Oryza sativa Japonica Group: one gene and its partners. The protein of the gene in region 1 binds, or shares a complex with, the protein of each later gene. Links are inferred from orthologs where the notes say so. Each region holds a gene or a part of one and is shown in the gene's direction. Other genes may lie near its edges.

Region 1 (8,277 bases):
TAACCATAGGTACTTTTTAGTACCATGACTGGCCTCTTCTTGTATTACACCTGAATTTCTGTCTACTTTTTTTTTTCTCGTTTTGACTAATTTAAAAACTGTGATCAAGCAGTGACCATGGGCCAAAATTCCAGAAACTGATGAATACAATCAATTTAAACTCTGTAGCCGATCCTCATGTAAGTTGAATTCAGGTGTCAATTTTCAATCAGCATGTGCTTAAATATTTCTTATTATCGTAACGATATTTTTAATTATATCCAGCGTCCTCTTGGTGGCTACAGCATAACTGTGTTCCATGAGATCAGAAAGAAATTTTATATACACAAAGTAAGAACCTGATCTTTAAAAGTAAATCTTATTTTCTAATTTCAGATTGGCAGCTAACAATCTCTGTAGTGTGAAAGCTGTGGAGATTTGATCAAGTCAACCAAAATCAAAGGACCATCACAGGATGACTGCATTGAGGCAATGGGTGCTAATGACTTGTGTGACAGTTTAATTTGTCACTGGCATTGGTATTAGCTATATATTTCTTTGCATTTTTTTTGTTCCATGCATGCCTTATTGGTATATCTCTAAAGGTGTGTTCGGAATCCCCAGTTCCCAACTCATCCATCTCGTTTTCCGTGCGCACGCTTTTCAAACTGTAAACAGTGCGTTTTTTACAAAAAGTTTCTATACGAAAGTTGCTTTAAAAAATCATATTGATCCATTTTTTAAAAAAAGATTAGCTAATACTTAATTAATCATGCGCTAATGAACCGCTCCGTTTTCCGTGCGGAGGGGATAGGTTCCCATCCTCCATTACTGAACACAGCCTAAGAGTGCACATAAATATTCATAGAAATATAAGCTAGATGTACATTTTAAAGCTAACTGTGTAATTTCCAAAATGTGTAATTTATTACTCTCTGCCTTGTTAGTGTATCCTTGCAATGTGGGAGGTAGGATGTAAACCTCAGTTTGTGATGAACAAATAAATCAACTATTATTATTGTTAAATTTGACAAAGAGAGATGTTAAACTAAGAAGGTAATGATGGGTGTCTGCTTCAATATCTAACATTTTCTTTGTGTTGTCCTGTCACTTTGGCAATTGCATAATCTAAAAAGTGGTAAATGATCTGACATAAATTTTTCTTTATTGGAGGTGAAATCGACATGTCCAGCAGCCAAACAAGATTAGTAATACCTGAACAACTATCATGCTCTTTCTCCTCCTTGGGGTCCTGGGATGCAACTTACTCTAAATTTAGTGTCATTGAGTTCATGGATGGAGTCATGATTTGGCTTTCTGTATTAATATATATATAGGCACAAGAAGCGGTGCACTGGTAGCTATCACAGAGTTCAAGGATCATCATCAGGTTGTGTAGAGGGTTCAAAAGGTAACATTTGGCTTAAAAAGGAGGTTCCAGTTATGATAACATTTTAAGACCATAAAACAGTCTATTTTGTTGAAATGCCTTGAGATGACTCTTTACTGCAGATATACATTTTAAACTCTTAGTATGCCTACTCATACAAATTGATGATACTGCTAATTTTTGTTGGTAGCTTTATCTGTAGAAGCACCTGATTGCAAAGTTGAAGAATCAGCCCCTGGAAGTTGGCACAATGCGCATGCATCAATTAAGGGTGGAAAAGGCAATAAGCATGAACTGGAAGAAACCTCTGCTGGGTTTCCTCCTGATGACTCTATTGGTATTTCTGGAATGGAGTCCTCTTCAAGAGACACAGCTAATAAGAAAATCAAATTGTCAAAGGATATTGGTTTGGACCGTCTAACCGCCACAACTGTTCAGGAAGCACCGAAGCGTCCAAGAACAACCTCACTAAAGAAGAATCAAGAGTGCAGCAGACAGAAGAAAAGAAAAATAAGCAAGTGGGATGGTTCCTACTCTGTAATCATTGAATGGTTGAATTACTATTCTGTGGATGAGTCAGATGAAGATGAGGTGCCTTTGATAAATAAAAGAACCGAAAGAAGAAAGCGGCAGAAGTTACTGAAACTTGTTCTTGCTAGGGAATCCAATAGTGGCAGTGAAGGTGCTAGTTCTACATCTTTTGTAGAAAATGGCAGAAATTCTAGCAGTGCTGGCTCTTACCCCCTAAGCCAGGGGGACAATGACAAATCTGAAAATGTGCAAGCTAATCGAGTTGATGTAAGTTCATTGCCAGATCATCCTGTAAGTAGTCATGTAGCAGCAGAGGATCAAGCTGGCCAAGCTGCATCGTCACCATTGAACTCACCAACTAGAGGTATCGTTGTTGACATTTCAGATGGTTGATGGCCAGAGTTCCATTAGTTTCTTTCAGCTGAGGCCTGGACGTACAATTATCCAGACTACAGTTGTAACACTTACTTTTAATTCCTTGCACCTGTCTACTGCTAGACATGCAACGGGACGATCCTGTGAAGCATGTGTCTTGTACATGTCTTCGTTTCTTCCTTTCTCATTTCACCTTTTCTTTTCTTAGCATAGATCAGTTCAGTATACTTAACTCTGTCAGGTTGTGTGACCCATCAGTTTCTCTCCGTACTAGTCTCTTGAAGAACAGCAAAGATCAGGTTTTCTCTTTGGTTGATTGTGTGTGGAAGATCAATCCAAATATGTTCATTTCTTAAGAAGATAAATTCAGTTCTATTCTATTCATAAACTTTTGTAAACCTTCTAAAATCCTTTAATAAACAAGAAGCAAAGTGAGTAATACGAAACCATTCACAAAATAGAGGGAAAAGAGGCCCAAATTCCCAAGGGTTAATTGGATTCATGGCCCATTTATCCAACCGTCTTATCTCCCTCGTGTCCTTCCCCAATTATCCCCTTCTATCCACCCACACCAGCAAGCCGCTCAGGCGCGCTCTCCGCTCCACCGCCATGGCGTCCATCACCCTCCTCTCCCTCGCTCCCGCGGCCACATTGCTCCACCTCCCGGCCTCCACTTCGCTCTCCACCTCCTTCGTCGCCGCTCCAGGCCCCATCTCCGGCCGCCGGTCCGTCGTCCTCCGCGCCCGCCCGCGCCGCTGCGTCACGGTCGTGTGCAGCGCCGCGGCGGCCGAGGCCGCGGAGGCGGAGCCCGCGGAGAAGTTCCGGCTCGACAACCTGGGCCCGCAGAAGGGGTCGCGGCGGCGGCCGAAGCGGAAGGGGCGCGGTATCGCGGCGGGGCAGGGCGCGAGCTGCGGGTTCGGCATGCGTGGACAGAAGTCGCGCTCGGGGCCAGGCGTCCGGCGCGGGTTCGAGGGAGGGCAGATGCCGCTCTACCGCCGCATCCCCAAGCTGCGCGGCATTGCTGGAGGTGAGTCTCTTCGAGCTTCCCGCTTCCCCTCCTCGCCCTCAATCGAAGCCTCACACATTCAAATGCACTGGAAATTGAGTGGGAACACGCTAGCACCTTCCATTTGGAATGCAGAAATGCTGGGATTGAGAAGTGACCCGTTGCAAGTTCTACCTTGCGATTGCAGGAATGCATATTGGCTTGCCGAAGTATGTGCCGTTCAATTTGAGAGACTTGGCGCGTGGCGGGTTCAAGGATGGTGACGAGATATCATTGGAATCCTTGAAATCGAGGGGTTTGATTAATCCGTCTGGCAGGGAGAGAAAGCTTCCTCTGAAGGTACACTATACGACGATTATCCTTCTTTTTTTTAAGTCGGTTCTGTAGATGACCATGTTTTACTGAAAACTGAAATATGAATGCCTTGCATTTGATCTTTGCCAGTGAATTCATCAAGTTCACCAGCAGTCTTGGGTAATCCTTTAGTTGTTGATGTTGTGGATTGAATGGCTGGCCTTTTTTTTTCTTGTAGTTCTCAAATGTTGCTGTGTTGGTCTGTCCTTAGCAGCAATTACCAAGTTGAGTATTCGAAGTCTCAAAGTTGTGTGTCGGGATCAATTTTCTTAGCTCGTGTTGGACAAACACGGTATGATTTGACGAGTGTTTCTATTGGCTACTCAAGGATCTAGAACGTATGAGTTATGATGAACCCACACATGGTGTAGGCCTGCATATGAGCATATCTGTCAGGCATAAACATGAAGTGGTATCAAGATCCCAACAAAACCATGTGCTCTTACATGTACCACTGCATGTCTGCATCACTCCCAACATACCCAAAATATTTACTGTTTGTCTCCACTCTTAGTTGGCGGATTGCTGGAGTAGATGCATTAGTGTGCTACTGGGTTGCCCCTTATAGTGGGTAGTGGTGTGGCGCTTGATCACTGATGTGACAAAGACTTCTCCAAGGGTGGAACTTAATGCACCTTGAATAGCATAATTGTTCAACTTTTATTGTTCTTTCTGGTCCTATTTCATTTGATTGATTTTTTCTATACTCTAGGCTCCTAGCTATGTGGTACATATAAGGTAAAACCCACAGGGCTAAAACAGGTATCAAGACCTAAGTCATAATGTGGGGAGCTATCAACTTTATCCTTATGATAGGCTTTTTCCTTCTTGACATCTGATTCTGATGTTCAGCAGATGGCGTTCCTTTCATCTTTGTTTGAGTACAATGATACTGCAATGTTGCTGTTGTTATTGTATCTTTTATCATGCGGGTAGTATTAGTATGCTAACTTTTGAAAACCTATCTGTAGATTTTAGGAGATGGTGATGTATCAGTCAAGTTGAATATCAAGGCTGGGGCATTCTCTGCTTCAGCCAAGGAGAAGCTCGAGGCAGCTGGTTGTACTTTAAGTCTGGTACCAAAGCGGAAGAAATGGCTACCACAATCTTATCTGAAGAACCAAGCTCGTGCAGAAGAATACTTTAGCAAGAAAAATGGTGGTGCTGGTGAATCTGATGAAGCATCTGCATAGAATTCATATACACTGTACTTCTCCTTTACCCTTTTCTTTAACATATACTTATTTCTCTTACCTTGTTCCAAAAGTTCCACGTTCAACGAATTTTGAATCCGTGCGATATGCAAGCATTTTTTTTTGTGTGTTTCCTGTTTAAATGGAGAAAATTCCTTCTATACCCCTGAAAGTTTAGCCAATCCCTTCTACGCCTCCGAGTTTTGTCCACTCCTTTGTATGCCCCTGAATTTTGGTTTTGATCCCTTTCATACCCATACCGTTAGTTGAATGTTTAATTCTAATGAAAAGGACCTTTTTGCCCTTAGACATGAAGGAAATCTAAAAATTGTAGACTAGCTATATTGTTGGAAGTGTATAATTTTGTTATATAAGACTATCATATTCATGACTTTATTGTACAAGGTATTATTCATGGCAAAGTTTATTTTTACCTAATGACATAAAAACTAATATTTATTTACCTACTAAAAGAGTATATGTAGCATTTGTTTATGGTAGTTCAACATATTTTCTCCTGTTGTATATATTATATAGGAATGCTTTCCAAAACTATGTTTATCATTTAAAAAAATGCTACATGTACTTTTTAAATATATATTAAATTTTTTATGTACATAAAACTTATGAATATGATAATCACACAACAAATTTTATACTTCCAACAATATAGTTTACAAATTTCTACATATTCCTCACATATTGAAGGGTAAAACTGACTTTTATATACCTATTAAACGGTCAATTAACGGCAAGGGTATGGAAGAGATCCAAATCAAAATTCAGAGGTATACAAGGGAGTGAAGGAAATTCATGGGCATAGAAGGGATCGGCTAAAATTTCAGGGGTATGGAAGGAATTTTCTCTCTTTTAAATGTGATGTATGTCAAATGTCAGTATGCATACCCCCCAACACACACCCTCACCCTCTTGTGATCTTGCACTTATACTTCAAGTTGCCTATAGTATTGTTGTCCATGTTGTGTTATAGTTTGGTGACAGTCTTTCTAAACAAAAACAATGATGGTTCATCTAGGAGCTAAACTCTGTTTCGCTTATTTGATCCTGCCTTTTTCAAAAGAAGGTAGTTATCATTTCAGTGTCTTAATTGATGCCCATATGTGATAATGTGAACTTGTGGGCTTCTTAATTGTCCATGTATACATTTCGTGATTTCCTGGGAAAGTGGACAGCTGGACACACATGGGGGCATGCACACTTAATTGCTGCACTGTTCATCTAGTGACAAGAATGGGCAAATGTTATATAGGGTTGCAAGTCATTCTATGTGTGCTTAACAATTGATTTTGAACACAAATTTCAACAGAACTCATCCATGAATATTGCTTGTTTGAAGAAGTTATATAAGGACACTGCTATATCTACTGTCACATAAATTACAAGTAGTTTCTTGTTTGACTTAATACAATAAGGACAGCACATCCCTCCTCAAAGGCTCAAACTGACTACAGTTATATCATCATTTTGAACTTCATGTTCATGTTCTCTCATTTTTTATTCAGGGATTTAAATCGCCACTTACTGCTGCTTGTTTCTTTAGGAGTTAGTTCAAAGGGTGACATAACTCACCTTTTACTGCAGCTTGAAATTCTTTTTCCTCTCTCTTTGATTCATTCTTGCACCCTCTTGCTCCCTGTGGACGTTGATGCTTCTTTTGTTTGATTTGCTTCTTGTTTCAATCGTTTACATAATCTCAATTATACCTCATACTTGTTATTTTCCTGTTGTTTTTCGACATTTCTTTAGGAAAAGAAGTCTTGACTATTTAGGTAAATTCTATTCCATCTTTGACTGTGAAGGTGTTAATTTGTTGAGATGTTTCCCATTTGATCAAAAACAATTATTTATGGCCTTTTGATGATAAAATTTATTTGTATTTTAGATTAACACGCAAATCATCGCCCTCATTCGGGCCCTAGGTCCACGCAGCATCGGGAGAATGACTGGCAAATAAGGGTTTGGGTAAATTTCCAGTGGCATAGAAGAAAATTTACCCTTCATTTCAGTGTGCAGTGCAGATTTGCTATGAACTGCGTACCAAGATCTTGACTAGTTGTGCTTGCATTGCATGTTCATATCAGCAATTTAATACTACCTCCGTTTTATAATATTTCATATTATAAGACTTTTTAGCATTGTCCATGTTCATATGGATGCTAATGAATCTAGACAAGCCACTAGCCTATTATTGCAATGTAGTTGTCCTTAACTACGATTGCAAGCATTAGAAAACTTATATTTCCTTCCAAATTGATCCAAGGTACTCTTCGTTTCAAAATATAGCGAACTTGGACTGAATGCGACACATCCTAGGGCCTGTTCACTTTGATGCCCAAAAGTTGCCAAAATTTTGGCATATATAGTTATCAAAATTTGGCAGCAAACTAAATATAGTCACTTTTTTGGCAACTTTACCAAAATTTGGTAAGATTGAAAATGGCATCAAAGTGAACAGGCCCCTAGTATAATAAATTTGGGACGGAAGGAGTAAGCTAGATAAAAATGAAGTCATTTATTTATTGTTGCATATTTAATCATAAATAGAGATATCACCATGGAATTAGATTGGTGTATACGTATGCTTCGTGCTACTGATCCGAAGACTCCCCTGCCAAGGGATCGGATCTCTTGCTCATGGATTATGCGTGTGAGTAGACAGATGATCTATGATCACCACTGTGCCATGTCGGGCAAGATTTGTGGCGCGAAGTTAGCATCAAGTTGGAATACATTCAAGAACTCTGTTCTGGATGAATTTGGACATAGCAGAATGCTAAATGGCGACAGGCTGTTATTAGAGGGCGATGTGCTTTTCATGTTGTTTCGGGGGAACTGAAGACACTAGTACTGTAGCACATACATCTGACTTGTTGCTTCTGCCTCTCGAACTGATCCAGCAATGCGTGTAATAATAATCCAGCAGTATCAGTAATTAGTAAGCGTATAAGGATGGTATTAGTGTTGATCGGGATATTGTAGAAGGATGGATGTATTATAGTGTTGATCGGGATACTTAGAACTACGAGTGATAGCTTCGTGCTACGCTGTTCTATAGTCAATGTGGCACAGGAGAAACGCTAGTATGGCCTATCAGAGCACTATCAGCTGCCGCCATCAAGCAAAGCTGAGGCCGGGCTGTCCAGGTTGCTTCAGGGCTTTGGGAGCTTTCGATTGCTTTCCACTCCCCTCCATCTCCATGGCGCACAACAGCGACGCCCCGTGAATGCACGACGATGCATCGTGCAACGCAATCGCGTCGCCATAACTCCCCGCTCCCTTTCACGCCAGCCTAACAACCAGACCCCATCGTCCCGGTGTGGCATGGCAAGGCATCGCAAGTCGCAAGCCAAACCCCGCCCGCAAGCCGAGAGGGAAGGAGACCAAACCCCCCCCCCCCCCCCCCACACACACACACACACACACCCTCA
Region 2 (7,596 bases), about 4.9 Mb from region 1:
CTCCATCCGACCCACTTGTCTTGGACGACGCCTCTCGCTCCCCGAGGCGGACGCGGACCGCTTCACCCGCCCAATCAAAACCGTCCATCCATCCCCGCGTCCGCGTTCGCGTAGGCTGCGGCTGCGGCATCCATGGCCGTCGCGAGGCTGGTGGCCGCGCGGGCCCCTCTCCTCTCCCCCGCCGCGGTGGCGGCGGCACACCGATCGCCCCCGGCGCTGCTGCGGCTGGCGTTCGCGCCGCTCCCGGCGCGGCGGCTGGCCGTCCCCTTGCGCGTGGCGGTGGGTGAGCCGGAGCCGGAGGAGGATGCGCGGAGGGCGGTGGCGGAGCGCGCGGCGCGGAAGCAGTCGGAGCGGCGGACGTACCTGGTGGCAGCGGTGATGTCCAGCCTCGGGATCACGTCCATGGCCGCCGCCGCCGTCTACTACCGCTTCGCCTGGCAAATGGAGGTAGGTAACACGCCATCGCCAAACTCCCGCTCGCATCTTACCATTACCCAATTCGGCAATTCCTTCGCCGCAGCACTAAAATTTCTCCGCGTGCTCGACCAGGGCAGCGGCGAGATCCCGGTCACGGAAATGTTCGGCACCTTCGCGCTATCGGTGGGCGCCGCGGTAAGCGCACACACACGCACCGTCCGCACGACGCCGCGCGTCGCTCGTGTAACCGTGTTGGTTTTGCCTTGCCATTTTGCGCAGGTGGGGATGGAGTTCTGGGCGCGGTGGGCGCACCGGGCGCTGTGGCACGCGTCGCTGTGGCACATGCACGAGTCGCACCACCGCCCGCGAGACGGGCCGTTCGAGCTCAACGACGTCTTCGCCATCACCAACGCCGTCCCGGCCATGTCCCTCCTCGCCTACGGCTTCTTCACCCGCGGCCTCGTCCCCGGCCTCTGCTTCGGCGCGGTGAGTGGTCGATCCTCCTCCATTTCAACCAAATCCCCATCACTTCTCTCAAACACACTGTACCAGGATTTGACCAAGCGTGCTTAACGTGGCCGTATTAAAATGACAAAAGTGCATGATGTAGTACTATGTTCAGTTGATTACATTCACATTCCATGGCCGCCTGCCAAAAAAAAATGAATTTATCTGTCAAGAGAAGCCAAAGCGTAGAGCGAACTCCAAAAGATCTTGATGTCCTTGCTGCATCGGATAAACAATAAAAAATTGAACATTCGAGATCGAGAAAATTTAGAAAAACGGAGTGGCCTGGCCTCCATGAGTTCCCAGAGAAACCTATAATGGATTCTAATATCTTTGAGGGATGTTATCTCGTATATTTTTCTCTTTCAAATTCGATACAAATAGTTATGAATTTTTTTTTTTAAAAAGTAATAATGTAGAGTATAGTGAGATCTATCAGTCCACCAAAAATTATGTTCAACTTCCATATACACAACACGAATAAAAGAAAAGATAATTCAGATGTGAACATTACGCTACTAATCATACATTGAATTTAATTTTTTATATCTCAACGTGTGAGTTGAGTTTGAATATAAGATTTTATGTAGTTGCACAGATATGTTATCTGAGTGTTGTCAAAAAATTTCATAACCTTTGGATATTCTGTAAGCAAATGAGAGAACATCCCTCGAATGATTAAATAGTTCCCCCTATAACGTAGATTGTACTAAAGCAATAGGTATTGTTGTCGCATTGCGACGGCGCCATGGTCACCCATGCGAGGTACCCATCAACGGTCTCACCGGAACAAGTAAAATACAAGCGCTAGCAGCGTTTCTTTTTGTTCAATTTGATTGCCAAGGTTGAATTTTTGTGATCTGGGGCTCTGGGCAGAGATGATCCAAGTGCTGACGTGTCCGTTCGCCGCAGGGACTCGGGATCACGCTGTTCGGGATGGCGTACATGTTCGTCCACGACGGCCTGGTCCACCGCCGCTTCCCGGTGGGGCCCATCGCCAACGTGCCCTACTTCCGGCGGGTCGCCGCCGCCCACCAGGTCCGGCCCGGTCGCTCTCCACCTAACTGCAGCCGACCACGCATCCCTGTCTCTGAGCTTCTCTTGCCGTGGTTCTGAATTTATGTGAGCTGATCCATCCTTGCCTGCCATTCATTCTTGCAGATACATCACATGGACAAGTTCGAAGGTGTGCCATATGGGCTGTTCCTTGGTCCCAAGGTGAGGAGATGTGTCTCATGCTATTCATGCTTTGCTTCCTCGTGCCCCATGCTACCATGGATGCTTGTTGGCTTACTCCTGCTCCAACGGTGTCCATTTGTCGAGTAGTTTGCATACTTGCAGTACTCCTTTATTGCAAGCATGAATTTGTGATTGGGAAGCTAATGTAGAATTTGAACTGTGTTGATATAAAAGGACTGGAAATTTTGAAATGTTCTAAGATGTATTACAAATATTTGTGATCGTCGGAAAAATTGTCTGAAATGTTCTAAAATGTCTCTGTTTTATGTGGTTGACAGGAGCTGGAGGAGGTGGGTGGGATTGAGGAGCTGGAGAAGGAGATCAAGAGGAGGATTAAGAGGAAAGAGACCTTAGATGCGATCCAATGAGAGCTACTTATCACACATTTTTTTCTTTTTATTTGCTGTCATCTCTTATTAGTTTTTGCTTCAGTGGCAATTGTAGCCTTGTAATATGCTTTTCTGTCCTGTTAATAGAAGAATAATTTAGATAGATATTTGGAAGCTCATTTGGACGGTGGAGCACACAGGTATTAGAAATGATGTGCTGGGGCTGAATGGCTGATGCTTTTGCTAGTACTGCTGGTAATGATATATATTAATCAGTACCATTCTGAATTTATTAGTCTGGTTGAGTCGTGCTGCTGACAGTGAGGTGTTCACTGATAAAATGTGTACTTTCTTTTATATTCTTTATTTGCCGACATTCTGTATCTCTTGTTCACGAGATGTGCCGGATGTAAATATGAAAGTGATGCATGGCTGATTACTTTTTGACCGTGAAGAAGAATTAATGAAGCTTATGCACACTAGGCGGTTCCTCCATACTGCTGAATGGCTGTTCATTAAGGCCCTGACAAGTGACAAGGTCACAGACTGACAGTTACTTCTTGAGGTCAAGGAGGTTAATGTAGTTTATCAGGATTAGGTTGCAAACTGACAAGGAAGATATTGTCCGTTGTGTTTCTACTCTTGGTGTCAAGTCGATCCTCACAGGATCACGGTCGTGGCATTGCTGGTCCTTGGTAGAACAAGGTAGGGCAAGCGCAATGTTGTGATCTGGGACCTTTCAAATCAGATCCTAGTGATTGTCCCCTGGTTATAAAGAACTGCATGTTACGGTTACTGCATGATTAGTTAGGCATAAGCATGTGACGAGGATCCTCGTCGTGATATTCCGTCCATTTTTCAATGTTGATCAAGCGTGGCAGATCTCCTGCTGATCTGCCAGCAACTGTTGCTAGGTTCAGAGTTTGCTTGATCTTGTTTAAGCTCTTCATCGGCGTTTTTTATGTTTGAAGTCATCGTTTAATGGCATACTACTACTATACTAGTGATGTCCTGTAGTGCATTAGAAAATACAGAATGGGCCACATACTCAAACACTGTTACCGGTTGACCAAAACAAGGCATATATCGAAATTCACACACTGCAGACTTGCAGTTGTTGACTCATGTAACTTTACCCTTCTCTTAGGCCGTGTTTAGTTCACCCCCAACTCAACGGTTTTGATGGGCCTAAGGCCCAAATCAACGGTTTTGATGGGCCTAAGGCCTGAAACCATGTCGAACAGTTCGATGGGCCGAACCATGACGAGAAAGCCCACCTGCGACACTGGACAGCAACGGCAGCCAGCCACAGCCAACTCGCCTTATCCCGTAATCCATCCATGGCATAAAGCTCCCTCCTCAGCTCCCACCTCCGTCTCCGCGCACGCTCCAATGGCGGCCACGGCTGTGACCCTGCCGTCCTCGCCGGCCCCCTTCCCCGTCACCACCACCGCCTCCTCCTCCCGTAACGTCCGCCTCCTCCTCCGCTCCCCGCCTCCTCGCCGAGCCCTCCGCGTCGCCGCCTCCGCCGCGGCCGACGCGCCACCCAAGCCGGCGCCGCCGCCGACCTCGCCTTCGGGCATCGTCCTCGTCGACCCCACCGAGGCACAGAAGGTGCACCGCCTCAAGGCTGTATACGACCAGAAGGTGGTCCCCCTCATCACCGAGGAGTTCGGCTACACCAATGTCCACCAGGTGTTCGACCTCTGTCTCCCTTCTCGCAATTATAGGATAGACATGGCCATTTCTTTGCGGAACTCGGGAAATTCGATTGTTGTTCAATAATTGAGCTTAGAGGAGTGTGTTTTGGATTCTCGATTTTATTCAGGTGCCCAAGGTTGAGAAGATTGTAGTGAATTGCGGGTTGGGGGCTGAAGCCGGTAACTCCAAGGGGCTCGAATCCGCCATGAAGGACCTCGCCATGATCACCGGCCAGTGGCCCGTCAAGACGAAGGCCAAGAAGTCCGTCGCCAGTTTCAAGATCCGCGAGGGGAACACCATTGGTATTGCCGTTACGCTCCGCGGCAGGGTGAGTCCTCTGTACCTCTGGCTACTTGCGATGCAGACATTGACAAATTGGGGACTGCAATGTTGTATCAATTTGGGATTTGCATGACAGTATAATAGCCTAAAGTATGTGTGAGAATTGCAATTACTCCATCCAGTTCCAAATTATTGTCACCGTTGGCCGTCAGTATTTTACATTGACCACAAATTTTAAATGGTTGGACGAACGAAAGTTTAATACCTATCTATGTGGAGTAACAACCTTTAATAATATGGCATATTTTTAGGTATATGCATTTTATTTTCTAAAAAATATAAGTGATCAAAGTTCAAATATGAATAGTATCCAGTGACAAGTATTTGGGAACCTAGGGAATATGTTTGATCGATGAGCTTATTTTGGCTTGCTGCAGGTAATGTTCAACTTCCTGGATAGGCTCATCAACCTTGGGCTTCCTAGGACCATGGACTTCCTTGGTGTCAACCCCAACAGCTTTGATGGCCATGGCAACTTCACCATAGGCCTTCGTGATCAGGGCGTGTTCCCGGAGATCCCGTACGAGGTCGGTGGGAAGAAGAATGGAATGGACGTCTGCATCGTCACCACCGCGAAGACCGACAACGAGGCTCTCAGGCTGCTCACCCTCCTTGGCATGCCGTTCGCGGAGCACATCAAGTCCTCCGTGGTGATCCGGAAGAAGAGGTTGAAGCGCCACCACTTCATGAGCAAGGGCAGGGGAAGACGGTGATTGCAAACCGCTGCCTAGGCACGTTGAGCTTTGCTTCTCACTTTGTCAATTGTCATTGTTTTTGCAAAGTTTCGTTTAGAAGTTTGATGATTTTGTTATCTTGTCACGTGCTGTATTTACTGTCAGAAGACAAAATGAAAAGGCTTTGCTTTGGTCAGGTCATTCGCAGATGAGCACTCATAAATGAATTGGGTGTAAAGAGATTATCCGGCAGCATTTTCAAACTGCTTAACTTTACTCACTAAACCACATCATATATATCTCTTTGGTCCCAAGCATCTCATAGCCCAGGCCATTACCCACACCATACTATCATCCTATATCAGTATTTCAGTAGCTACACGTTGGCAATTCAGGCGGACCGATGACGAGCTCTTCTTCAGGGAAGGCGCATGGCTTGCCCGCCGCCCCGAGCTCCGGGCACGGCACCGGCGAGACGTCGGAGGCGACACCCTTGACATCGGTGCAGTTCCATTGCAGCTTCTTGGCGTCCGGCGCGAGCTGCGCGGTGACGTTGGACATGCAGATGCCAGTGTAGGGGTCGTTGGGAATCCCCTCCATCCTGCCGGCCATGGTGACGTTCTCCGCGAACACGTCGCTGTAGTTGATGCCGGTGACCTCCGGCAGAGCGTTGGGGTCGGAGGAGTTGTCCGGGTGCTGGCCGTAGTTGCCGGTCATCCAGAACACCCACTTCATGGTGTGGAGGCTGAGGCCGCGGACGAACACGTCCTTGACGTAGCCGCCGCGCCCCACGCCGGACTTGATCCTGACGGCCGACTCGGTGTCGATGGCGACGTTGTCCACGGCGCGCACGTCGCGGATGCCGCCGGACATCTCGCTGCCGAGCGCGATCATGGCGCTCGTCGGGGAGATGCAGGTGAGCCTCCTGATGAGGATGTGCTGGCTCGGCATGTTGAACTTGATGCCGTACTGGTCCCAGCCGCTCTTCACGGCGATGCAGTCGTCGCCGGACACGATGTAGCTGTCCTCGATCTTGACATGGGAGGAAGAATCTGCACCATGGACAACAAGAGCTCATCACATCTAGCACAAACCAATGCTTTCCTCATGGCAGCATTGATCAAGTGCAGTGTGACTTGTATGTTTATACCTGGGTCGATTCCATCGGTGTTGGGCGAGTTGAGAGGTGCTAGAATGGTGATGCCGCTGATGGTCACATTGCTGGCGCAGCACGGAACACAAAGAAGGTGAGCATCATGATCTATATCTAACCGTTCAGAAACTGAATTCTGGTTGCGAGTACTGATGATTCTTACGTGCAGTAGGTGGGATGGAGATTCCATGACGGCGAGTCGACGAAGGTGACATTAGAGATGATGATATTGTTAGAGTAGAGGAGCTCGAGCAGGTAACCGCGAGTGTAGGTGAGTTCCTTGGCGTGGAACTTGTCCCACCAGACTTGGCCCTGGCCGTTGATCGTTCCATTCCTACCTGAAATGTTGCTCAATTTCAGATATCCACAGCTAAACATATACCACAATCACAGCAGTTACACGAAAAGGTTGAGAAAATAGCAATCTTCATCACGCATTCATTCGTGTACCAGTGATGATGACATCTGTGAGATTGGATCCAGCAATGAAATTGCTGTATCTTGGGCCTGGTTCGTCCCTTCCTCTTCCGTAGGATGGCAGAGGAGCTATCAGAGGCCAATCTTCCAAGTTCTGAAGAACGAAATGAACAGCTTAGACTGTCAACACTTCAGATAATGAGAGATGAACCAGTTACACTAGTAACTGAAAACGGGTGAACAAAAACAGATAAGAGTAGCAGGTCCACAAGTTATGTGCTGACAAAATTCAAAGCATAAAAGTGGAGCAACCATATAACAGTAGAAATTTCTGAAATGACATGGCAGAGCTTTTGTCCTAACACTCCCAATCCATTCTCTTTCTCTCAGTACGGCACGGTTAGCAACTGAAACGGATCACATTAACATCGATTGACCTTCAATGGTCCAAACTAATTAATCAGCTATCTGATCAAAACCGGTTCATTTACATGTATTCAATAGCCACCAGCTCATCCTTACAATAGGCAACCACCGCAATTGCAATGACACATCACCGGGTTCAAGCTCCCAACATACAGCTCTTGGCACATATTTAAGCGCCGCCTTAATACGTTGTCCTCCCATTTCTTGAGAGCGACAATCAGATAAGGTTGATTACGACAAAAAAAAAATACAGCATGTAACCGTGGCATTTAGCATGTTAATGTTCGTATTAACAGTTTGCCAGTTTGAGATTCCATCAAGAACAGATGGGAGCCTGGGAGGACAGATATGGGACCCCAGACCAAAAAAGGCGTTTTTCCCTGGCAAAAAG
Region 3 (8,246 bases), on another chromosome or scaffold:
TGTACCTACGTCAGTTATGCCGTTAATTGTCTAACAGATCATCTCCTTTACCATTCTCTGTACACAAGATTTGTACTGTTTCTAGTATATTTTGGGCTTATAGGTCTGTGCAGAGTCCAAAGGCATGCCCACCATGTCCATGTAAAGCGCTTTTACATGATGAAGAGTCTTTGTACAAGAAGCAATTGAGCAGACTTCTTCACTGCTATTTTCTTCTTCACAAAAATATATGAATAAATAAATTAAATCTTCTCCATAGATTAATGTATTAACGCAGACGTGCAATAACCATTTTTGTAATTCTGTGGTGCTGAACTGTTGATGCCTAATGATCAGGGAATACCCGTGTAGTGACGTCCCTTGTGCCATGCAAAATTTCTCCAGAAGTACGTATCACACGCAGTCTAAATCGTAAATGGCCAGACCTGATCGCGGCTGCCTAACGCTAGTAAACAAAACGTTCACGATTACCACGCTGCCTCCTGCCTATCACGTGCGAATGCGATGCTGAACTGAACTGAACGCCTCTCGAGCTGGAGAGCGGTGCTACTACCAACTGCTCTGCATCACACGAAAATGGTGAAACCGAGAACTGACACCGTCTACAAACTCCACAATAAAAAAAAGAAACGACCACGGATAAGGTCCGCTCCAAAACCACAATTTCTTCCCCTTGAAACGGAGAGATATATGTCTGAATCTGTCTGTCACGCTCTCACTAGACACTAGTCACTCCTGGCGTTGAAAAAAACCAAACGAGCAAGTACCTGCCAAGGTACAGAACATTCGTAAGGAGAGTTCCAGAACGAGCAACGCATGAGGGCAAGTACTATGATGGTTGATGTGTTGCCTCTAAAAATGCCACATAGAATTAAATGATGAGGTGGAAGTAATAAGTGAGGAAAGAGAAAGTGAGCTAACTCTCATGTAAGGGGCAACCTCCATACAAACCCTAAGAAAAAGAAGATGAAAGAAAGAGGGGATTGGACAAACAAATAAAATATAATTATTTGGGTTGGTATGATAGAGGTGGTGTAGATATGGTGTGTTGTATATGTTACCTCTTATCTTACATGGATAAAATTAGATGTAGCAACTATTCCTACTATAAAACTTGCCCTGATTGCTATTACATATGGCTCTCAGCTGCAACCACACCGTCTCCCCGTCTCACCCTCCACACACTTGTCCGGCTTCCCCGCGCCGAGGCCGCGCCCCTCGGCGCGCTGCTTTGTCCAGCCGAACCAGCCGTTCTTTCCTTCATGCAATCCTGCCGCAAGTAGGCTCTCCTTCAGTACATCAACAATCAAAGACACTACTAGAATGCCCTCACTAACTAAGGACACCCATAGACTGACTCTGGAGGTCTGTCCTCACAGTGGAGGATACCCATACCTAATAGCTTCAAAATCTAAGGAAATTTAAGGGCACCAGTTGAAGACACGCATACCACAGTGGGTGTCTCGGCCCAAATAGCCGCCAACGACCTCGAGGATTTGGGGGACGGGCGCAAGAGAGAGGGGGAAAGGGGTGGAAGAGGAAATCCTCGCTAGGGCGTGTCGCCTGAAGCAACCGTACCCACGCAACGCTTCGACCGACGCCTGGGCGAAAACGAGCTGGGGGTGCGTCCCCAGCGAGGCATCACACGGTCTTGCGAGAGAACACCTCGTTTGCTTTTTCAAACGGAAGGAGACGGCGTCGGGTGGGGGGACGCCCTGGAGACACGCATTGTTGATGCTCTCAGAACCCATGAATTGCATAAGATTAAGACATTCAGTCCAATTTCTTCCAATATTCTTTCTAAAAGAGATCTTGTAAAGTTTGCATGTGACAAAAAAAAAAGAACTACTACATAACACTATACTGTTACAACAGAATACCTTATGGTGCTAACATCAGCACAGGATCGTAGGTATCATATTTGTATGTGCACTGGATCTGGTACTACCAGACACGATATCCATTAATACCACATTATCAGACTCTCGTATTGGTTCCTATTTCCTTCGTCCCATAAAAAATCAATTTCTAGGAATGAATCCGGACAACATTCTTAGGACATTCACAGTGCGCTACATATTTTTGCCGTTCCTCATATGCCACGTAGACGAAGAACCTGTTAAGCTTCATCCTCTACAATGCAAGTACTAGTAGTGGGTCCCACCGGTACAGTTTTTTCAATTTTCATCTCTCAATCTCTCTCTCTCCTCTGTTTCTTTTCTCATCCGAAATCTTTCATCCCCCAATCTCTCACTCTATTTCTTTTCTCACCAGGGCATCCGAGGCGCTGGGGCTGAGCGGCGGCGGCTGTCAGGGCAGCCCGAGCTGCGACGGTGCCGGACGGCGAGCTCCCATCCTCATCATTGGATACGGTGGCGGTCGCAGCCTCTTCGTCGATGGCGCCTTCCTCTCTCTCTCTCCCCGTGGCTGTGGCGACAATGCGCTCGCTGTCGACGCTGCGCGAAGCCACTCGTGTGAGGCTCCGCCCTCCACAACACGACAACTCACCTTTCTCCCTGCTTTCTTCGTTTGAAGAACGAGTATCCATGTTTGGGTACGAGAACCTTATTTGGCTCCGCGTACTGTCAATGCGGCGCCGAATATTCAGTTCTTGGCTATGGGGCTGAACGTCACATCCTTCTACTGTGAACACTCTTAGAAGTTGTATCTTTTGGGATAGAGAGTGTAGGTACTCTGATGGTACGGCCAGACATTTCTGATACTCTCGCAACTAACAGATTATGGGTAATGGTTCGTAGTATTTTTAAAAAGTAAATAGCACTACATTATCGGTGGTTCTTTTGGACCGTACCCAGTAACGGCGAAATCGTGAGCTTTTGGGCCCAATCCGACGCCCGCGGCGCCGCAGCGCACCACCCTCCCCCAACCGTCTCCCCCGCGCGCGCGGGCACACACGGCTCGGCTAATCCAAAATAGCCCAAATCGCACGAGTCCTCCCCCGTCCCCCGCGACGCGCGAGCGAGAGAGAGCCCTATCCGCTGCGCGCTTCGCCCGCTCGCCTCGCCCTCGCCTCACCGGCTATTATAACACTCTCGCGCTGCCACTTCGCCTTTTCCTCCCCTTTCTATCCTCCACCTCGGCTTATCTCCTCCCCCCTCCCCACCACCACCACCACCACCATGGCCACAGCCGCTTCCCTCTCCGCCACCGCCTCCTCCCTCCTCGCCCCCGCCCCCGCCACCACCGGCGCCGCGGCGGCGCAGTGCTGCTCCTCCTCGTCCACCGCGCTGTTCCCCACCCCCGTCCCGTCGCTGCGCGCCTACTACCCGCGCCTGCTCCTCGCGTTCCGCCGCCCCGCCGTCGCCGCCGTCGCAGACCCGCAGGGCGCCGTGCTCGAGGAGGAGCAGGGGGAGCAGCAGGACGAGGGGCAGGAGCAGTACGACGACGACGACTACGACGACGGGTACGAGGGCGGACGCGGCCCCGCGTTCACGCCCCCCACCCGCCCGCGCACCGGCAAGGCCGCCCTTCCGCTCAAGCGCGACCGCGTATGCCCCCCCCGAATCCAGCCTCCCCCCCGCGTGTTCATCCATTCGTGTTGATTTTTGGATTGACGCTGACGCCGCGTTCGCCTTTTTTTTGATGGGTTTGCAGACGAGGTCGAAGCGATTCCTGGAGATACAGAAGCTGAGGGAGAGCAAGAAGGAGCACGACGTGCCCACGGCCATCTCGCTGGTGAAGCAGATGGCCAGCGCCCGATTCGTCGAGTCCGCTGAGGCGCACTTCCGCATGAACCTCGACCCCAAGTACAACGACCAGCAGCTCCGCGCCACGGTTATTGCTCTTTCTCTCTGCTGTTGCCATTGTTACGTACGTTCTGTTCTGGCTTGTGTTTTATCAATCGTTTTTGATGATATTGGATCGGTTTTGGTGATGATGTGCAGGTTAATTTGCCCAAGGGGACGGGCCAGTCGGTGAAGATTGCGGTCCTCACACAAGGTGGGTTGCAATTACATTTTGGAGATTGTTATCGCAGCACCAATTCCAATTGCAATCTTTGGTGCATGGATTGATTAGGTCACTGCTAGTTGTGTCTTTTAGGTGTGGTTTGCCTGCTTGATCATGTGGTTATTTACGGTTCATTAAATTGGAAGCACGCTGTTATATAGTGAATTGAAATGGAAGTATGTGAATGCGCGCTAGTCACTAAAGTGGTGCACTAATCACTAGCACTATGTAATGGCTATTGTCAAATATCCTTGCAGGTGAGAAGATAGATCAAGCAAGAGCTGCAGGAGCTGATATTGTCGGTGGAGATGACCTGATTGACCAAATAAAAGGAGGATTTATGGAATTTGACAAGCTGATTGCATCACCTGATATGATGCCTAAGGTATGGCATTAGCTGCATAACTCATGTCTAAAACAATTCCAAGCATTATGAAGACTTGTCTTTTTGCATGTCTCCGACATAGTTTATCCCACATCCAAATGAACACGTTATGTTTCAGTGTTATTAGGAACCACAAAACCAGGCAACATTTAGTTGTATTGATCAGATATTGTTTTCTTATCATTACCTGCCATATCTGATCCATCCCTTCATATTACAAGTGTCTAGCATTTACGATTATGATTTGAGCCATAATGGAGATATGCAAATTTGGTTCACTCAGAGAAAATAGATTCGATAAGCAAATAAGGTTCTACTGTTTTGAATTGGTACATTCTTCGGAAGTTTGGATGCAGTTCTGCAATAAGTGTTGAGCTCCATGCAAGACCTGCATGGAAGTTTTAAAGGTGTGCTACTAGCTCGGCATATTATGTTGTTGATTTTGGTCTTTTGCTTCACAGGTCGCCGGATTGGGAAAGATTCTAGGACCGAGAGGACTTATGCCTAACCCCAAAGCTGGGACTGTTTCTCCAAACATAACTCAGGTACAATGGAAATTCTACAGATTACTATATGTATTGACACTGTTGCTTGTGGTTTTCTCTCCCATTTGCTTGGTTATTGTGACCCTGAGTGAAAGGTGGGTAACTGTCCATTTACCTTCTTTGATCCTTGGTGAACTTCTGTTTTATCCTCGTTCAATGCAATAGGCAGAACTCCTGCCCTTTTGTTCAAAGAAGTTGTCCATTTACGTCATCTCAGTACTTACCTCATAGATGCACTTCTGGGAGAAAACCTACTGATATATTGCTACCTTGTTTAGTAGTCTTCATTGTGTGTGCAATATATTTCAGTGGTTCGATTTTCAGACATGTTGATAGACATTTTTTTAACCTTGTTATTCGTAGATAGAAGGTTTGAAATTTTGTTTGTGCCAACTGAATTTGAGGATATGCATGGATGCATAGCTCCATCGTTCGTTTGTTGGCTTATCAACGGCAGCCAAAATCTGGATTTTGAAACTTAATTTAGAATTGATTTTGAGGGGTTTTTTTTATTGTGCTTTATTCTCCAGTGCTGGCTTTTGAATCGCTAAGAACATAGATATAGACGTTTTACTCAAAAGTTATTTTTGGTTGCTTCGTCATTTTTCCACGGCTTATCAGCCATAGAGCAAATGATCGTGTAATGACTGATGATGATGGTAATCTGCTACTTAGCCTGCATAGTGCCTCCGTAACAGTTATGTAAAGCATCACAACAAATCTGCAAAATAGAGAAAACAGGTAAAGTAGGCTACTTGACTGTTAGGAACAACCATCATTTATAACGGTTAACTGAAGGACAGGAGTGGGAGCATTTGTGAAAAATCTAGCCCTTTAGGTAATGAACTGGGCTATATTGTGCTCATATATCTATGAAAAGGGCCCAATTTCTCTAATTTAATACTTCAGTAGATAGATTCAAGGCTGCAATATACAAATGTAACCTTAGCATCAGCCATGACTACAATAATTGATTAATGCTCATACAGCTATTTTCAAATGAACATGGGAACCTCTAAATCTTGTCAATCCTCGTTGTCTCTATAAATTGTTCTTCAAATCAAGTCTGCCTAATGCCAACAATGGTTGAAGTTGTGTACCAGTCATCTTGTTCTATTCATGTTTCTACATGTAGAGAAATTCTAACTTTTGCCATTGACACACATGTAAAAGGATGTCATTGTTTATAATCATATAATGTCATTTGTGATTGTTGTACCAGTACAAAACTGAAGTATTTGAACATTTTGCTTGAAGTATTAAGTTGTAAATGGAGATTGACAGGGGCGGAGCTACATAGAGCTAGGGGGGTGCCCAGGAACCCGGTTGAAAATTTTTTTTAGCTATAGTTTGTCCATTTTCACCATATATATACTCTGTCAGTTCAAATTTAGACACCCGTATCAAGCTAAATTTGATTCAAACTAGAGTAAAGCAAGCAAGTGGAACCCCCCTTCATTTTGTGCTAGCTCCGCCCCTAGAGATTGATTATGTTAATTATGTTAACTGTGGAAATGGTTTCAGGCTATCGAAGAGTTCAAGAAAGGTAAAGTTGAATACAGAGTTGACAAGACAGGGATTGTTCACATTCCCTTTGGGAAGGTTGATTTTCCTGAAGAAGACCTTATTGCAAACTTCATGGCTGTTGTTGTAAGATATCTGCTCCTATAAGCATCTTTATTGATGTAACTTAAAACCTATGCTGACCTGCCTTCTGCTATATCTTTACAGCGCTCTGTCGAAAGGAACAAACCATCTGGTGCAAAGGGGATATACTGGAAAACGGCATACTTATGCTCATCAATGGGGCCTTCAATCAAGTTAAACATCAAAGAAATGCTTGACTATGGCTCAGAATCATCAGACTAAATGCCACGAAAAGCACCAGTTAAGAAATCTGGTGTTTGCTACCACCTTCACAAAATTAACCATCCACCCTTAGCGATAAATGAACCGGGAAACATGGTGGGGGAAGGCAAGGGAGGTGCTTAGGTACAGTTTTTTTTTCAGTCTCACCTGCATCCATCCAGCAGTTACACGATGCCCAAGTCGACGAAGGGGTGATATTGTTGGCCATTTGTACTTACGAGCAAATTATTTACGGACTTATAGATGTGTTTTCTGAGATGTTTGTTGTAATGATCAATATTTTGTCCATAGTCATCCTTGAGCTTACGACAGCAGTTTATTCTCACCAGTACTTGCGGTTCCTGAATCGTTGCAAGTTTGCATTGTGCCATTTTTGAATGATAGCAGCAGCGGTTCGATTTATGCGAGAATAGTAATACAAGTACTATCTGAAGCTCTTATGAAAATTTTCTGAAAGCAAGCTATGTATCACTCGAGCACATTCGGGACTAGAATCGTTTATATAGATGTTAATGGATTAGACACTGAAACGGAGGAAGTACTATCTTACCATAGCAATATAAATATAGATATCTATATTAATGGTACGATAAAATGTTTTATGTAGTATTAACTTGCTATATTTTAAAAAAGAATAAAATATGTTTCATTTAGTATTAACCTGCTACATTTTAAAACGGAGGAGGCAGTCGTATAGCGGAAACTAGGATATGATGCTAATGATTTCGATACGGAGTACTCTGTATTTTCTTAGTTTCAAAATGTTACTGTCTCCCATCTTAAAAACAAGTAGTACTAATAGTCTAACATAACTATAGTCTATCCATTCGGTTGGGATGTCTAAAAAAAATCCAACCTAGTTGGGGACGAGACATAATCTAATATGATTAATCTAGATAGTGGCTAACCTAGTTGGGATGGGATACAATATAGTATAATGAATCTGGACACGTATGCGTGGGATGTCTAAAAAAAATCCAACCTAGTTGGGGACGAGACATAATCTAATATGATTAATCTAGATAGTGGCTAACCTAGTTGGGATGGGATACAATCTAGTATAATGAATCTGGACACGTATGCGTATAGATTTGTTGCCAACTAGATTCAACGTCCATGTTTACATTCATTAGAAATTTAATATCAGAGCGATTGTTATTAGTGGGAATATAGAACTACGATGATAAATATCTCGTTTGGTTTAGATTATTAGACGGATTATTGATTTAATTAGTGATAAATTTAATATGTGCAAATAAACTTAACAATTGAGATAAGTAGTCTAATCTAAACAACACTGTAGAAAAAAGTTTTTTTAAAAGAAACATGTATTTCAAAGCGTGGAATAAATATTTTAATAGTCCGATGAATAAGTTAAGAACAACTTGGCCTTTGGTTAACAATGAACAGTAAATTGATGCTTACATCAACAAAAGTACAAAACAGAAAGTCAACCGATAGCATACTGATAGAAAAGA

Evidence for each region.
Region 2: large ribosomal subunit protein uL15c (region 1) and large ribosomal subunit protein uL5c share a complex: the UniProt entries of both Arabidopsis thaliana proteins name them as parts of the 50S ribosomal subunit. The link is inferred for Oryza sativa Japonica Group from reciprocal best matches to the Arabidopsis thaliana genes RPL15 and AT4G01310.
Region 3: large ribosomal subunit protein uL15c (region 1) and large ribosomal subunit protein uL1c share a complex: the UniProt entries of both Arabidopsis thaliana proteins name them as parts of the 50S ribosomal subunit. The link is inferred for Oryza sativa Japonica Group from reciprocal best matches to the Arabidopsis thaliana genes RPL15 and EMB3126.

Annotation. Positions count from the first base shown.
Region 1 is NC_089037.1:6,340,141-6,348,417, forward strand, and holds large ribosomal subunit protein uL15c, read left to right. Parts: upstream 1-2,825; 5' UTR 2,826-2,884; coding exon 2,885-3,302; intron 3,303-3,468; coding exon 3,469-3,620; intron 3,621-4,606; coding exon 4,607-4,828; 3' UTR 4,829-4,842; exon of another isoform or gene 4,843-4,944; intron 4,945-5,584; exon of another isoform or gene 5,585-5,804; intron 5,805-6,595; 3' UTR 6,596-6,618; intron 6,619-6,731; 3' UTR 6,732-7,029; downstream 7,030-8,277. Other genes in the region: uncharacterized protein, read left to right, coding at 1-9, 113-179, 265-330, 400-518, 1,317-1,390, 1,560-2,293.
Region 2 is NC_089037.1:1,439,404-1,446,999, reverse strand, and holds large ribosomal subunit protein uL5c, read left to right. Parts: upstream 1-3,816; 5' UTR 3,817-3,884; coding exon 3,885-4,187; intron 4,188-4,320; coding exon 4,321-4,521; intron 4,522-4,912; coding exon 4,913-5,248; 3' UTR 5,249-5,501; downstream 5,502-7,596. Other genes in the region: beta-carotene hydroxylase 2, chloroplastic, read left to right, coding at 133-447, 550-612, 697-903, 1,837-1,962, 2,086-2,142, 2,442-2,531; probable polygalacturonase, read right to left, coding at 5,579-6,261, 6,360-6,430, 6,526-6,700, 6,813-6,933. UniProt on the Arabidopsis thaliana protein: Binds 5S rRNA, forms part of the central protuberance of the 50S subunit.
Region 3 is NC_089039.1:18,888,017-18,896,262, forward strand, and holds large ribosomal subunit protein uL1c, read left to right. Parts: upstream 1-2,961; 5' UTR 2,962-3,140; coding exon 3,141-3,509; intron 3,510-3,615; coding exon 3,616-3,795; intron 3,796-3,905; coding exon 3,906-3,960; intron 3,961-4,226; coding exon 4,227-4,354; intron 4,355-4,815; coding exon 4,816-4,899; intron 4,900-6,423; coding exon 6,424-6,549; intron 6,550-6,630; coding exon 6,631-6,768; 3' UTR 6,769-7,093; downstream 7,094-8,246. UniProt on the Arabidopsis thaliana protein: This protein binds directly to 23S ribosomal RNA.